Nothobranchius furzeri: one gene and its partner. The protein of the gene in region 1 interacts with the protein of each later gene in a pairwise test. Links are inferred from orthologs where the notes say so. Each region holds a gene or a part of one and is shown on either strand. Other genes may lie near its edges.

Region 1 (8,973 bases):
GTTCCTTCTCCCTTCTGCTCAGCGGTTCCACGGTTGCTAGGCGACGGAACGTTCGCCGATGTAGAGGCGGGAATTCATGAAGGCTAGGCCTGTCCAAATTCACAGCCGTTAACATCCGGTCTACCAAGCCGACGGAGGACCCAGCCCACGTCGGCCGAGTAGGCTGGGTCCTTCGAAGGATGCAGATCCTGAATTGAGACACAGCCTGTGTGTGTGTATTTGTTAGCAGCTCCGCCCTCTTGGTCTGCCAGGCAACAGCATTTGTTGCATTTTTCAAACATGAAGTGGGAGTGGAGTTAGACTCTGGTAGGGGGTGACTTGCTCTTTAAATGTTATTCATGTGAGGCGTCTTGTAATTTTTATCTCGAGAGGCGCAGTCTCCAAATTAATCAAGTTAGGTCAGTGGGCCACAGGAAAAAAACATGTTTCGTTCAAAATACAAATGGAAATGTATATATTTCGTGTTTTTATATTTGTACCACTCACAAGTAGGCCTCATTAGTAAAAATCTGAACACAAACGTCTTTTAAATCAAGTGTTTGTAATAATTGGTAACAAGCCTCATCTCTGTGGAGTTTGACCTGTTTAAGGTCAAAGGTCAGACATTCTTCTGGAGTTTCTGGAAGAGAGCAGGGCTGTTTCTCAGTACTCAAGGACGCCGTTACGTTCTTGTGTGAGTATGTTCTTGGCCAGGACACCAGAAAGTCCGTTCTACCGAGTATGGGAGGATGAGAATGACATTTGGACCAGAACTGGCCTCTGTTGCTTTATGGCAACAAGGGTTGCTTGTTGCTACCGTTAGACAAATGACCTGCCATAAAAATAAAAGTCTAGTTTGTTCCTTAAATAACAAAAGAACAGTGAAAACATATTGTTTGTATTATATTTGGTCCACTTTTGATTAAAACTGATAAAATACCACTTCCCGCTGTTAAATGAATAAAAGTTTATTTTTCATCAAATCAGAGCTACGCTGCTTTTATTTTGTTAGTGGGTTAGCTAATTAGTATTTGAGGTATTGTGGAGAGTAAAATTCAAACACACAGCACATTTTACAGGTTACACACACTTATTTACAATAACAAACCACTTAATGTTCCTTTATTAGTATTTCTGACATAAATCTACAGACACCAGCTTTCTCCTGACGTTCAGAGTACAACGGTTTGTGACACAATGCATTGTGGGACACATTGCTGTCCCGAGTTTGCAGAAGAATGCATTGATGCAATACAATGGGCAGAGCAAGAACACATCTGGGAACTTTGAGTGAACTTGCCATGATGCGTACTTAGGATTGGAACAGTACTTGGGCCAACGTTGATGACGTTTCACAAGGATGTGAGTGCACAGAAACGGCCCAGGATTCATGGTTCCATCAGTCGCAGGAAGTGGTTCAGGTCGTAAAGCAGCTCCAGATCATCACACTCCCACTGCCATGTTTGACAAATGGTTTGATGTCCTTTGACCTTAACCATACCCAAGTGAGGCCTACAGTGCTTTAGATGTTCTGAGTTATTTTGTTCCTGCATTTCTTTAGATTGGGGAATGATGTGTTGCCTTTTGAGATCTTTTAGCCTAGTTTATGAGATTTTATTGAAGTGATTTCTAAAAGACTGGCAGTAATCAGGTCAGGGTGTTGCTCATAAAACAGAACTAACATTTCTAAATAATACTAGAGAGACTCGTGTGTTTTCACATGGGACCAAAATGTATTAAATAATCATTTGTAAAACGTGTTTTGGTTATTTTCAGTTAATATTTATTTGCAGACCTGAAACATTGAAGCAAAAACTGTTTATATGTTCAAAGCATGTTTATTTATTTTTGCATTCCCAGATGTTTCCTCCCATGTCGGTGCTGTGAAGATGGAAAGCGTGATCCCGGTGTGTCTGGACCCACAAGCTCCAGAATCAGCACGGCCTCCCCACAGAGAAGGCACGTCCACCTTAGAACAAATGATCATCAAACAGGAGAAGTCCGAGGAGGAACCGAATGGTGCACCTTACTGCTTTGACCTGATTAAAGAGGAGGATTTAGGTCTGGAAGGAATAAAGTGGCCACCAGAAGTCCTGGATGTGGAGAGTATTGAGCCAAATGCCCAGATGTTCAGCAACAAGCTGGATCAGGGTAAGAAAATAAATTACAATAATTTTTTTTATTGTTTGGCATCTTATGTTACAATGTTATTTACAAGAAAGCAGAAGTTAGTTTACTTAGTTAGATTTTTGCAAGACTCATCAACTGTGTTTTTATGAGGATTTCTGCAGTTTAAAGTCTTTGGAATTTTTCAGCAGCTCCTCCAAATTTGATCACCGCCCTCCCACCGCCACCAGACCTCCAGTCCAGCTCCTCAGAGTTTCCAAGCATCTTTCATCTAGCAGAACCAGCCGCAGAATCCCTAGCTCCTCCACACGTAGTCGGAGTCCATGTTCAAAATGGCCGGAGCGGTGCTGCCATTCACACTTGTAAGTTCTGCAGTCAAACCTTCCACCTGCCCAGTCACCTGCGGCGCCACTACGGCCAGTGCCGCCAGAGGCTCCAGCAGCGCTGTCCGCAGCCCGTAGCAGGAAGCACCAGGACTCGGCTGCAGCTCTACCCACCAGGCTGCAGTCCCTTCCGATGCACAGTGTGCAATCGAGAGTTCAACCGTCAGGAGAATCTAAAGACCCACCTTCGGATCCACACGGGGGAGAGACCTTACACATGCTCTGTCTGCTCCAAGTGTTTCCGCCACTCTGGAGCATTAACCCGACACTTCCGCATCCACACGGGAGAGATGCCTTATGTCTGCGGACAGTGTGGGAAGTGTTTCAGAAACTGTGGTGGGCTCAAATTCCACCAGCGTTCTCATAACAAGCATTTATCATAGTCCTTGTTTAATATATTAAAGAGGTTCTTCACTGAGAAACAATTTTTTACTTATTATTTTTGAAAATGAACAGTCACTGAGTTTCCATGCAGGCTGAATGTGAAAATGGTGTCCTACGCATATCTCCTGCATTATCTTTTGGTAGAAAAAACAGTCTGCTGATGTTCGGGGTGGGGGGTTAGTGTTCCGCTGAGGTCTGTGACATCATCGGGGTGGGGGTTACTGGACGACAGGAGGAACGGTTCTCTACTAGGACTTGGCTCTCATCGTTCTCTTTGAAAGCACGTTCAAAAGACTCCACTTGTTCGTGAACGTCACATCACTAACTTAACTAATTTATTAATGAAACAATGTTTTGGTATTTATTAAGTGTGTAAATGGATGATTTTGAATCAATTTAGAATTGCAGTTGTGGGTTTGTTTTCTGAAGTGATAATTGTTGCCCAGTATTCATGAAGGCTCAAAATAAAAATTTAATCTTTGCTGCGCCTTTGCCCTTCATTCAACGTGCTATTTGTTTGTTTGATTTATTTGAAATAAAGTCACTAAATAAGCAGATTTTTTCTTGCCAAACAAGATTTCTGTCAAATTTGTTTTACTTAGAGGATGTATTTAATCATGACATCACTGAGTGGAATGCTGCACATTGATGTGGAAGGAAATTGCAAAAAGAGAACATTTCAGGTCACTTGATTTAGAAGGAAACATAATATAACAAAAAAAGTCAGCTTTCACTTCAGAAAATGAAAAAGCACATGGTTGCATTCAAGTGTTTAAAGATGCCTTTAATAAATAAGATGTTTGTGTGACCTAATAAAAGATTGTATTGTTTCAAGCACCTGGCCACAGGTTCAAATCTCCTTTTTAATCTGTCAGCAACTGTGTGATAGATACATCTGAAATGTATTCTGCCTTATTTTACAGATTGTTCATGTTATCAACTTTTCTTCAACTTCCTCGAGGTTGTTAATAAAGCATTCGATTTTTTAAATTGTTTTTACGTTTTTGATCAACACAATACGCTTCATTAATATTACATGATCTAAAACAATTGGATCAGTTTTTGTTTTGTGCGGCAATCGATAAACCTGGTCTGGGATCGACTGAACCACAGCTTTGAACGGCTTCGTCTTTATCTGCCATCAGCTAGTTGTCCTGGATTTGAGTAGGAAGTGAGCGTCCCCAAGAGCACAGAGCTAACAAAGATTAGCTTGATCCAAAAAACAAAACAAACAGCTGCTTTGTCCCGTGGTTTTCTCTACGGGTACCTGTTTTTTCCTCACCGGAGCTGCTCGAAACGCTTCGTGAACTGCTGACAGAAAGTCCGCAGTCATGTTGTCCGAGCGGGTTGAGTTTGGAGGCTCTTCCTTCCTCCGGTCTCATGATGTCGGAGGGACTCGCTAGTTTTGCCTGAGCTCCTCTCAGCACCTCCGCTGCTGCTAACTCAACTTTGCTGTTGTTGGACGTTTCCTCCTCAGAGTAAGTTATCTCCCTCACCCAGTGGATAAGTTATTTTTGGATCAAATGTTCTTTAATTTACCGCGATAACGCTTAGCAGAGTTTATTGTTTAAATTAGTTTATTCAGTTTGACGTTTCTCAGGCCAAAACTGCGACTAGCAGGAGTGACGAGGAATTCCTTCTGACTGTTCATTACATCAGGACTGATCACCTCAGTTTAAACATGTATGTTGGGAGCCAGCTCTAATAATTCGGTCATCTAAATAAGTTTTGTTAAACCAATAAAGACTGTCATAAAGGTCATGGCTCTTAGATATTCACAGTACACTTGGATTTATATTGGTCTGAACACAAGTTATTTTGTGTAGTATGTCTTGCTTTACCTTTTGTTTGAACCTTGAAAATTGCCTCATTTTGAATGCAAATAATACAAAATTAACTGTAAAGCAAGATAATATGTAGAACTCATCTTTTACATCCTTTTGTGCTGCCACGTGGGTCTCTACTGCTTATATAAACTCTAAAATTGTCTATCTGTTTTCTGACAGTGGAATTTTAAGAATTATGAGCCTAGAATTACTCAAAGAAAAATAACTTAAAAATGCATTCAGAAGAAAAACAGAGAAATATACAAAATGTCTAAAATGACTCGCTTGAAAAAGTTACCATTTGTGATGTCACAAACAGGGAAATTAGAAAACCACCTCATGTATAATAGAGAGCTGCTGCAGAAGGAGCAGAGTACATTTTTTCTTCTTTTTTGGCTACACTTGACATTATTCTGTTTTCAACCCTTTATTGGTAAACAGTTTTAAAAGTAAGGACTAATATGTTTTTTTTTATTTTTTATACTTTCTTTGTTCATTTAGCCAGTGTGAAGCCATGTGAAGTGAGTAGAGTAGATCAACTTAAATGCTGCTTCGAAATGACCAAATTCGAAGATGTTAGAGACACAAAATATTTTGCTGGAAATAATCAATAAAATATAAAAACTTGAAATCTGGTTCAGCTGGCTAAATACATTACTGCACACTGGGATTTGAACCCATGTCAGCACATGGCAAAACTGCGTGGGCGGAGTTTCACTGAAACAAAGCGTTTTATTTCCAGGTATAAATTCACGCTGACAAAAATAACTTGTATTTAAGATAAATGACACCTCAGTAGTGCCAACAGTAATATTTTATTATATACTGTGCCTAACTTTTGCTTTCAAATATTTAAAAAGCATGATCTGGAACCTTTAATTCTTCCAAGTAAACATGAATTCTGTTGGAACATTACATGTTTCACCAATGATTAATGTTTGACACATTCTATATTGTCTATAAATTGAGCTGAATGGAAGATCAGGTCTGCAACATAATTAAATCTTCCTCACTCTGTCCAGAGATGGCGACTCAAAACACTGGAACGTTTCAAGACTCCCTGCAGAGTTCAGAGGAACGCGGGGAGCTGGTGCACTCGTTATCTAAGGAGACTCCTGGATCTCCAGATGCCTCTGAGTTGGGGAGCCCCCGCTGTACTCTGAACTTTGACCTCCTGAACATGGTGACATCCTACAAGAGAATGGCTCTGTATCTAGAACCCATTGTAGACGCAGTAGAGGTCATTCACCTGTTACTCGGGTGTGTATGGGTGTGTGTAAACACATTATCATATGGTTGTTTTGACCATTAGTAGTAAATGTCAGAATTCAATCTATCTTACGTTTTGTCAAACAGATGGAAGATGCCACTGTGCTCTCTGCTCGTTTGTATATTCCTCAACATCTTCTTTTGCACAATTACTGAAGGTAGGGTGATTCATTTAGCATAGATATTAAACCAGTGGTATTGTGATGTCACCAAATATTTTTTATTGATCCATTAAGTCGTTGTATCTGCCTCTGGTATCAGTTGGTTGGTTCACAGGGAGTGTGGTGGTTGTATCGGCGCCGGCTGCCCTGGGTTACCTGCAGGACAGGTGTGGGGGCAAAGCCTCTGAAGCGGATCTCCAGAAGAGGCGTTACCACGCTGTGCATCGCAAAGACCTGCAGACGGTTCACCTCACCAAACAGGAGGCCATGCTGGAAGTCAAAGACCTGTAAGATGCATGCTGCAGCTAATTATTTTAGCTCAAGTGTGTGTCCTGTTCTGCTTTCTCTCTCTTTTTTTAAAACAAATATTTACAGCAATTAGCAGCTATTATATTATCCTGGGTATCTTAAGGCTATGGATGTGGTAGGACTGTCGTGGTTGACGCGTCTCTGCAACATTGCGTGGTCATCGGGGGCAGTTCCTGTGGAGTGGCAGACCGGGGTGGTGGTCCCCATCTTTAAGAATGGTGACCGGGGGGTGTGTTTGAACTATGGGGGGTTCACACTCCTCAGCCTCCCTGGAAAGGTCTACTCCAAGGTACTGGAGAGGAGGGTCCGATCGATAGTTGAATCTCAGATTGAGGAGGAGCAATGTGGTTTTCGTCCTGGCCGTGGAACTGTGGACCAGCTCTATACCCTTGCAAGGGTGATGGAGGGGGCATCGCATAGCCGGTAGTAAGTCGGACCTGTTCCCGGTGAGGGTTGGACTCCGCCAGGGCTGCCCTTTGTCACCGGTTCTGTTCATTACCTTTATGGACAGAATTTCTAGGTGCAGCCGTGGTGTGGAGTGTGTCGAGTTTGGTGGCAGGAGAATCTCGTCTCTGCTTTTTGCGGATGATGTGGTCCTCCTAGCTTCATCCAGCTCTGACCTTCAGCTCTTGCTGGGTAGGTTCGTGGCCGAGTGTGAAGTGGCTGGGACGAGGATCAGTACCTCCAAATCTGAGACTATGGTTCTCGACCGGAAGAGGGTTGCTTGCCAACTCCGGGTCGGGGGAGAGGTCCTACCTCAAGTAGAGGAGTTTAAATATCTCGGGGTCTTGTTCACGAGTGAGGGTAGGAGGGATCGGCAGATCGACAGGCGGATTGGTTTGGCGTCTGCAGTGATGCGGACGCTGAGCCGATCTGTCGTGGTGAAGAGGGAGCTGAGCCAGAAAGCCAGGCTCTCGATTTACCGGTCGATCTACGTCCCAATCCTCACCTATGGTCATGAGCTTTGGGTAATGACCGAAAGAACGAGATCGCGGATACAAGCGGCCGAAATGAGTTTCCTCCGTAGGGTGGCCGGGCTCAGCCTTATGGGCCATTCCCATCTGTACCGGGTCGGCCCGGGCCGGGTAGCCCCAGTCGGCCCCAGCCTGGCCCGGTTGGTTCCACACATCCTTGCCTTAAGCCCATGTGGGCTGATTCTACCCACCAATCAGAGGCTTGCTCTAATGGAAGGTGTGAATTTGCTGTCAGCAGTGGGTGTGTTGGCCCTGGTCGGCCTGAAGCAGACCCCCTCGAGAAGAGGGCTGAGAATGAGCCTTGGTTGGCCCGGAAAAATACCAGGCCACCCAGATATGTAAACAACCTACGCTACCCGGCCCGGGCCGACCCGGTACAGATGGGAATGGCCCATTAGAGATAGGGTGAGGAGCTCGGACATTCGGGAGGGACTCGGAGTAGAACCGCTGCTCCTCCAGATTGAAAGGAGTCACTTGAGGTGGTTTGGGCATCTGGTCAGGATGCCTCCTGGACGCCTCCCTGGGGAGGTGTTTCAGGCATGTCCTGCCGGCAGGAGGTCCCTGGGTCGACCCAGGACACGTTGGAGAGGTTACATCTCCAATCTGGTCCGGGAACGCCTTGGGGTCCTGCCGGAGGAGCTGGTGGACAAGGCCGGGGAGAGGACGGTCTGGAGCTCCCTAGTTGGGATGCTGCCCCCGCGACCCGGACCCGGATAAGCGGAGGAAGACTATTATATTATATTATATTATATTATATTATATTATATTATATTATATTATATTATATTATATTATATCCAGTCAAATGGACTTTGTGAATTTGTGCATTCTCCTGGTTTAATTTCCTCAGTAAATACAGTAAATATGGCCTATGAAAATCACATTTGTTGGTGGAAATGTATCAGGCATTGTTGATATTTCATTTATTTGTTTTTACTGAATGTGTGTGTGATTGTGTGTTTCCAACAGGTTGAAGCACCTGGATGACATGTTGTCCTCTGCTTGCCAATCAGCGGAAGCCATTTACAAGGTTTTATACTGGGATAGTCACACCAGTTCTTCAAGGTCTGTATGCACACACACACACACACACACACACACACACACACACACACACACACACACACACACACACAGAAACAAATGTGTGTGTTATTATCTTTTTATGAAATTATTGTTGAAGTGTCAAATGTGAGGTAAATTTGCATTATTTCTGTTAAATTCCTCGTCGTGAATGCCGCGGCTAAACCACGATCCTCATTTTTGTCCTGCAGGTTTTATGGAGCGACGCTAACAGTGGTGTGTCTGCTTTATGTTGTTCCTGTGGGCTGGGTGCTTGCTGGGCTCAACACCGTCGTCTTCCTGTGGAACCGAGACTTCTGCAGAGGTTAGCTCCTTTAAACAAAAGAAACACTCATTTCTAGTAATATTATTGCAATGTTTTATTTGCTGTTTTCACTCTGATTTCCCAGTTCTTCTGGACCTTCGGAAGCTCTTTTACTTTGGTCCGACTCAGACCTCAGAGGGGCTGCCTGAAGACCAGGCTCAGGGCAGCCTGATG
Region 2 (7,207 bases), on another chromosome or scaffold:
ATAATATTGTTGCAGTAGAATCAGAGCCCGATAAGACATGGATGCAAAAGTACATCAGAGTATCAATACAAATTGGTATTTGACTCTGAGGTGATTTAGGGACCAATCCTTGAGGAACCTCACTGACTCCATTAGTAGTTTGCTTAATGTACAGAGATCTGCTAGATATATTAATCTTAGCATTCAAATGTACAAGTAAATCTACTGTTATTAGTTGTGTTGCCAATATTGATTTTGTCAGGTAGTGAAATAAATATTTACTCTTCCATTTATGAAGTGCCTATTATTGTGTATGCTGCACACTAAAAGGGCAATGAGCTCCTTCATGAATTCAGAAATAGCTAATTATTGATAAAAAGGAAGAGGAAAAAGGCCAACAGTTTTACAGTAAAACATCCAACCCTGTAAACAGAGAAAACAAAAACAAAGTGTTTACACGCAGCAGATATCTAGACAACTTTGGAAGGTCTGTGTAAACAGAGTAAAGCAAATTACCCAGTGACCAGTTTGAAATTTCAGTCGCTGATCCTTTTGCAAGAACAAACATGACTTAATGTACTCATATTTTTAAAGGCATAAATGCAGCAAATCATGGTTAACCAGACAAAAACATATTTAATTTGTTTGTAAAATGAGTGTAAATGACAAATGATAGTAGTTTGATAGGACATTTATTTGAGATACATCAAAATGAACAAATAGAATAGAATTCAACTTTATTGTCATTGCACATGGGCTGTGCAGTGGTTAGAGCTGTTGCCTTGCAGCAAGAAGGTCCTGGGTTCGCTTCCCGGCCTGGGATCTTTCTGCATGGAGTTTGCATGTTCTCCCTGTGCATGCGTGGGTTCTCTCCGGGTACTCCGACTTCCTCCCACAGTCCAAAAACATGACTGTTAGGTTAATTGGTCTGTCTAAATTGTCCTTAGGTGTGAGTGTGTGATTGTTTGTCCTGTGTGTCTCTGTGTTGCCCTGCGATGGACTGGCTCTCTGTCCAGGGTGTACCCCGCCTGATTGCCCATTGACCGCTGGAGATAGGCACCAGCCCCCCCCCCCCCCCCCCCCCCCCCCCGCGATCCTAAGTGGACAAGCAGGTTCAGACAATGGATGGATGGAAGTCATTGCACATGTCACAGGTACAAGGCAACAAAATGCAGTTTGCATCCATCCAGAAGTGCTTTAGCAATTGTACAGAATGGTCATTTACATAGAATTATACAGTAGTGCAGTTATGATCAGTGAGTTATGTGAATAATTTCTACAGGTATGAGACATTTGACCCATGTCAGGAGGCAGAGTGCAGTAGAATGTCAGGAACTTTGCTCAAATAATTATAGATTACACAACTTTTGGCTCTAATGCTCTATCATCTAGCCTGAGGAAGCCACACATTTGGTACAGTCACATTTATTTTTTGGAATGAGAAAAAGAAATGCAGAACAACTTTAGAACAACTTCCCATGCAAACATAGGGTCTTCTGAACATTTGGTCTTTTAACACAAATATTAAAAGTACAATTTAATGAAATCAGACACCTTTCCCAGTCCTAAATAACCCAACAGTGTCTGTATTTATTATGTATATGTGGCTAATTAAATGTGTTTAAACTCCACAGCTGTAGGTTTGCCTGCACTGAATGTATCAAAGAAGTGTTGATTTAATTCTGTTAGCAAATAAAACTATAGTTGATGTGTGAGGAGATTTGTTTATTCTCTTTCATGCAGCTAATGTTAGACACGTTTTTACAAAACCTGTTGAGTGTAATACCATCCCAATCGTCTGGTGTGGAGAAAAGCTGAAACTTTAAGGCAGTAAATGTTGGATTGTTGCATTGCATTGCTATGGTTCTGTGACTTTAATGGTGTAGTTTATGGATGATTAAAATGAGTAGAAATCCTTATGGGTATCATAAGGGTCAGTGTGTGTGTGTGTGTGTGTGTGTGTGTGTGGTGTGTGTGTGTGATATTCTGTCCGCCTGTGGATCTTATAGTAGAAAGCATGTAAATGAGAAACATGTTCCATGAATTAAAATTCCATCTCTTGGGTAATAAATATTATTTTATAAACAAAATCAAATGCTTTTGGAGACATACTAAAACTAGTGAATCATTTATGTTAAATATAATTTACATTACTTTTGTTTGAATCACTTCCGATTCCTGGAACAATCAATTTCCAACTTTGCTTGCCAGAGACAAAAATAATCGGAACAAATGAAAATAAAGTCTGGCGACATGTATGTGCACAGACCTACACATTTACAAGACTGGAAATATGTTTCTCTATACACTATTATTACAACTTATTACTTGTAACTTCTCAAACATAGTAGAGAAAAGACGGAGACAGCGAAGAGGTAATCGACCATCTCACATTTCCACCATTGACCAACAGTCAGAAGGTGTAGTCAGACGTGTTTCAGTGTTTTTGGCTCTTTTGCTGCATTTGATCAGGCTCATTTCAATTCCTGGCAGCTATGACAACAGATAGAGCTACGCCACCAAGGGCTACAGCTGTGGCACCAAAAAGCCACTTCCAGCTGAGACCCTGCAGAGGACAAAAAGCAGCATGTTGAGCAGGTTAATAACATTGGCACAAATTATACGCTGTTTTTCAAAGCCTCACTTTGGAACAAACATTTTAACACATGGAGTTTCTGAGATGATTACTCTCTCACCCATGAAGACTTGGCCTGATGTTTCCGTACGCTGCTACTAGAAGGGTTGCCCAGCATCTTCTTATACATGGCCTGTTCTGCTCCCCGCTGCTCTGAGTGCTTCTTCACCAGCTTGGAGAGCTCAGCGTGAATTGTCTGTGCATGAAACAAGAGAAAGGATGCAGGAAATAACCATAAAAGCCCTGTGTCTATCAGTGCTGTTATCCTGATCTGCAGGAGACTGCGTCGTGCAGCTTTGCAACAGACAGACCAATAACAAGTCAGAACGCTCTTTACAGTAACAGACACAAGTGGTCTGCAAAACACAAAGTCATGGCATTTGCTAGATGAATAAATTAATGATTGGGGTTCAGAGAAGCTGCATCAGAAAATCTAAAATGTTTATATACCGGAAAATTCTTGATTCCACTCTTTGCCATCTTCCGAGAAATCACAGGCTTGGACCACAAAATCAGCGTGCTGTTTAGCCCACATGTCCACACAATGATTCCAGGATCTGGGCTCAATTATTGTTCCAGCACAGACTCAGCTGTGAGTCACTTCGCTGCTCTTAAAGCGGGTGAGTGACTAAGCAAATCAATATTATAACAGATAAAATGTTTAAACTTGCTAAGAGCACTTCGGTAGGACTGAGGACCGTTGCTCAAAGTTCAACAGAAACAGTCACCTGAAACTAAAGTGACGTTTGGAGTAAAATCTACTAACATGCATCTGTGAGCAGTGGAGTCTTCGCCCTGATGTTAATATGCACCAAAGTGGTGCATTTACCTTTACAAGAGTGTTTCTGTGGAAGCAACAAGACAGAAAGACAAAAACATTACAACCTATAGGGGGAGAGGAGAAACAAACATTTAGCATCACGATCCTACCAGAACTCGTTTGTCTTACTCTGCAGAGAAAGTCAAAGGCAGTTTAAACTGGAAATGTCAAGTCTGCATGTCGTTTAAGAAAAAAGTTAAACAAGCCAGATAAATAAATCTTTTCTGGCTCATTTGAGCTGAAGACAGAGGTATCAGCCCCTGCTTGGAGGAGAGAGATATAATGTGTCATCTTGTCATTTTCTGTGTCTGTCAAAGCCAAGCTAATTGGTTAGAAAAAGAGCATCTTTATTGGAACAAAAACACACACATTTATTTTAAGGCACCATAGAGCAGCGCTTTAAACTCAACCCCAAACTTTGTACAGGAATTAATAAAAAGTGTCATACCTTAAGTTATTAGAAATTACTATCTTACCTGCTGCAAATAACTTCAAATAAAATTAATCTTCCAAATTTCACAGCAATTCATGCAGCATTACTTAAAAAAACCTTTTACACCACCATTTCTCATGTTGTTTACGTAGACTTCTGTAACTCTATATAAACATAATTATCCGCAGCAGCCTTAAGACAGCACCTCTGGTGTCTCCAAGGGACAAGTTTGAACAATATATCCTATTAGTGCTGCTCACATAATTATTTAATGCAAAGCAGACATATAAAATAACCTAATTTTCATTAATCAATATTAAATTTTGAAGGTGGCGCTGATTTAAGATGTCAGTAATTCATCATTAACCTGTAAGGCCGGTATCTCAGGCAAAATACACTACTATAACAAAGACACAAACTATAAATTGGCCAATATGTCTTTGAAATGGCTCAAGACTTTGATAGCAACACAGGAAGTTAGCCAATGAGAAGGGATGATGAGAAGTGTCAGCTTCCCCTTCGACTCAAACCAGATAATCTGTAATCTAAAAAAAGGGGATGTTGGATTTTATTTTCTGCTCCAAGTTGAAGAACTTTTTCCTGCAGCTATTCTCTTCCAAATCTTTAGATCAAAACCACAACTAGAAATGTACTGGTTAATAAATTAAGCACTTCATTTATCAGACATCATTACAAATGGTCTTATAAAGTAGCACATGATACTACACTGCATGCGATGGCTGAAAAGCGGTGAACAGGTTGTGTGCTGTTTGACAGATTGGTGTAGGACTGAAGTAGGGAGTACTGGGCATAAGTACCAGGCTGCTGCAGCTGATCCAATAAGCCCATACAGTGGAACATGCTCCAGCGAGTGACCTTGTATAGCCAAAGCACCATATATACTCATCTGAACAGAAACAGTGACTAGGCATTAGATACGACTAGGGTGCAGGGCAGACCTATTTACAGCAGCAGCATGAAAACAGATCCTCTGAAATGATGAATCAGCAGAACTTGCTGCAAATGAATTCATCTTTACCCAATGGCCCCACCTACTGGTCAGAATGGGACAATCTGTTCAGCAAGACTAAACAATGTACACTCGCTAGTCACATCACACTATTGGGTACACCTGTCCAACTGTTCCTTAATGCAAATTACTAATCAGCCAATCACACGGTGGCAACTCAGTGCATTAAGGCATGTTGACATGGTCAAGACAATCCGCCGCAGTTCCAACTTCAGACTGTGGAAGAAAGGGGATTTAAGTTACTTTGAACACAGCATGGTTGTTGGTGCCAGACGGGCTGGTCTGAGTATTTCAGAAACTGCTGATCTTCTGGGATTGTCACACACAACCATCTCTAGGGTTTACAGAGAATGGTCTGTAAAAGGGAAAACATCCATTGAGCTGCAGTTCTGTGGGCGAAAATACCTTGTTGATGACAGAGGTCAGAGGAGAAAAGCCTGACTGGTTTGAGCTGATAGAAAGGCAACCGTAACTCAAACAACCACTCCTTACAACCACGGTATGCAGAAGAGCATCTCTGAACGCGCAACACATTGAACCTTGAGGCAGATGGACTACAGCAGCTGAAGACCACACCAGGAGCCACTCCTGTCAGCTAAGAACAGGAACCCGAGGCTCCAATTCACTCAGGCTCACCAAAGCTGGACAATAGAAGATTGAGAAATTGTTGCCTGGTTTGATGAGTCTCGATTTCTGCCACAACAGTGGGAAAGTAGGGATGCACCGATCAGGTTTTTTGCTGCCGATCACCGATACCGATATCAAAGAATGCTGATCACCGATACCGATCACCGATACCGATCACGTGGATTGGCCAAAAATTTTCTACAACATTATAATGAGTGCTACAAACTACATAATCTGGGAATAAAGGAAATGCAACCTAATCTAAAATGGTCTGTATTAGGGTTGTCACAGTGTGAAAATTTAACCTCACGGTTATTGTGACCAAAATTACCACGGTTTTCGGTATTATCGCGGTATTTTTTTTAAACGTGCTACATTTTCACACAATGCAATAAACCCTGTATGTCAGGAAATATTGTCTTCAGTTTGTGTCTAAATTTAGCCTAAAATGTGTTATTTTGTAATTATGTTGTTTATTTGTTTACATTTTTTCCCTTTAGTCTTTAAAATACCAATATTTGCCCATAACTTCTTATTTTATGTCTGTTTGATGTCATCATTTTAAAAATATTAGATCAGATGATACGCAGTACTCAAGTAGCCTTCTAATCAGATACTTTTTTACCCTTACTTGAGTAATCCGTATATCAGGAAATTATTGTCCTCGGTTTGTGTCCTTCCAGTGAGCTTTGCAGATGTGGGAAAATGTCATCAGGCAGTAATCGTTGTTAAATTCATAATTATTCTCGGAGAGAGACCAACTCTTATCTGCCCCTGGGAGCCCCGTAATGCATAGCGTCGTTTCAACATGGGGGTGTCCGCGACACGGTTTATATGCAGGTAGCGGCGCTGCGGCTGCTTTATATAGCGACTCGTTGCGTTCTCCCTCAACCCCAAATCCTCGGATCACGCATTTTAGCTAAAATGCTAACGTTAGCTTGCCTTGCGTTGAGGGTGATGGTCACGCAGATGTGTCATGACATTTGAAGCGTTGCTGCCTTTCACAGACAATTTTTCTGCACGTACTGCAAACAGGATAGCCGTCCATCTTCTATAAACTCCTTCGGCATTCAAATATCCAAAAATGCCCGTACTTCCGACTTTGTCTTCTTTGGGGGATAATAAATGTCCTCCTGAGCGCTGCCGTCTCCTCCTTAGGCCATTATTTCAGCTTTAGCTTCAAGAAAGTTTTGGTCGTAAACAACAAAGTGCGCATGTGCCGCCGGTCCTGCAACTTCAGCAGATGATACGGTGGCTGGTAAGGGTCACCGCGCCTACACCGCAGCCACGGTAACCCACCGAGATAATATAGTTTTTTTTAAAACAAGACGGTTATTATTATTGTCAACTTTTTCTACCGGGGTTTACACTGGTTACCGTGACAACCCTACCTGAGCGGTCTGCTTTGATCTATTTTGAAAAGTCCGATCAAAACCGATAGGGGCGCTATCGGCCGATTGGGATCAAATGCCGTTTCATCGGTACATCCCTATCGGAAAGTAGGATCAGAATTTCGCGTCAGCAACATGAAAGCATGGATCCATCCTGCCATGTATCAACGGTTCAGGTGGAGGTGGTGTAATGGTGTGGAGGACATTTTCTTGGCACACTTTGGGCCTCTTAGTACTAACTGATCATCGTTGCAATGCCACAGCCCACATGAGTACTGTTGCTGACCATGTC

The links.
Region 2: the proteins of zfyve27 (region 1) and fkbp8 interact in binary tests that used the Homo sapiens proteins (3 or more experiments, as listed by UniProt). The link is inferred for Nothobranchius furzeri from reciprocal best matches to the Homo sapiens genes ZFYVE27 and FKBP8.

Annotation. Positions count from the first base shown.
Region 1 is NC_091746.1:82,341,143-82,350,115, forward strand, and holds the start of zfyve27 (protrudin), read left to right. Parts: upstream 1-4,122; 5' UTR 4,123-4,351; intron 4,352-5,721; 5' UTR 5,722-5,723; coding exon 5,724-5,959; intron 5,960-6,055; coding exon 6,056-6,126; intron 6,127-6,229; coding exon 6,230-6,416; intron 6,417-8,381; coding exon 8,382-8,477; intron 8,478-8,686; coding exon 8,687-8,799; intron 8,800-8,884; coding exon 8,885-8,973. Other genes in the region: si:ch211-284e13.5 (neurotrophin receptor-interacting factor homolog), read left to right, coding at 1,840-2,130, 2,295-2,872. UniProt on the Homo sapiens protein: Key regulator of RAB11-dependent vesicular trafficking during neurite extension through polarized membrane transport. Promotes axonal elongation and contributes to the establishment of neuronal cell polarity.
Region 2 is NC_091748.1:52,419,791-52,426,997, forward strand, and holds the end of fkbp8 (peptidyl-prolyl cis-trans isomerase FKBP8), read right to left. Parts: intron 3,460-7,207; coding exon of another isoform or gene 3,376-3,459; exon of another isoform or gene 3,215-3,375; intron 2,811-3,214; coding exon 2,676-2,810; intron 2,546-2,675; coding exon 2,459-2,545; 3' UTR 2,190-2,458; downstream 1-2,189. UniProt on the Homo sapiens protein: Constitutively inactive PPiase, which becomes active when bound to calmodulin and calcium. Seems to act as a chaperone for BCL2, targets it to the mitochondria and modulates its phosphorylation state.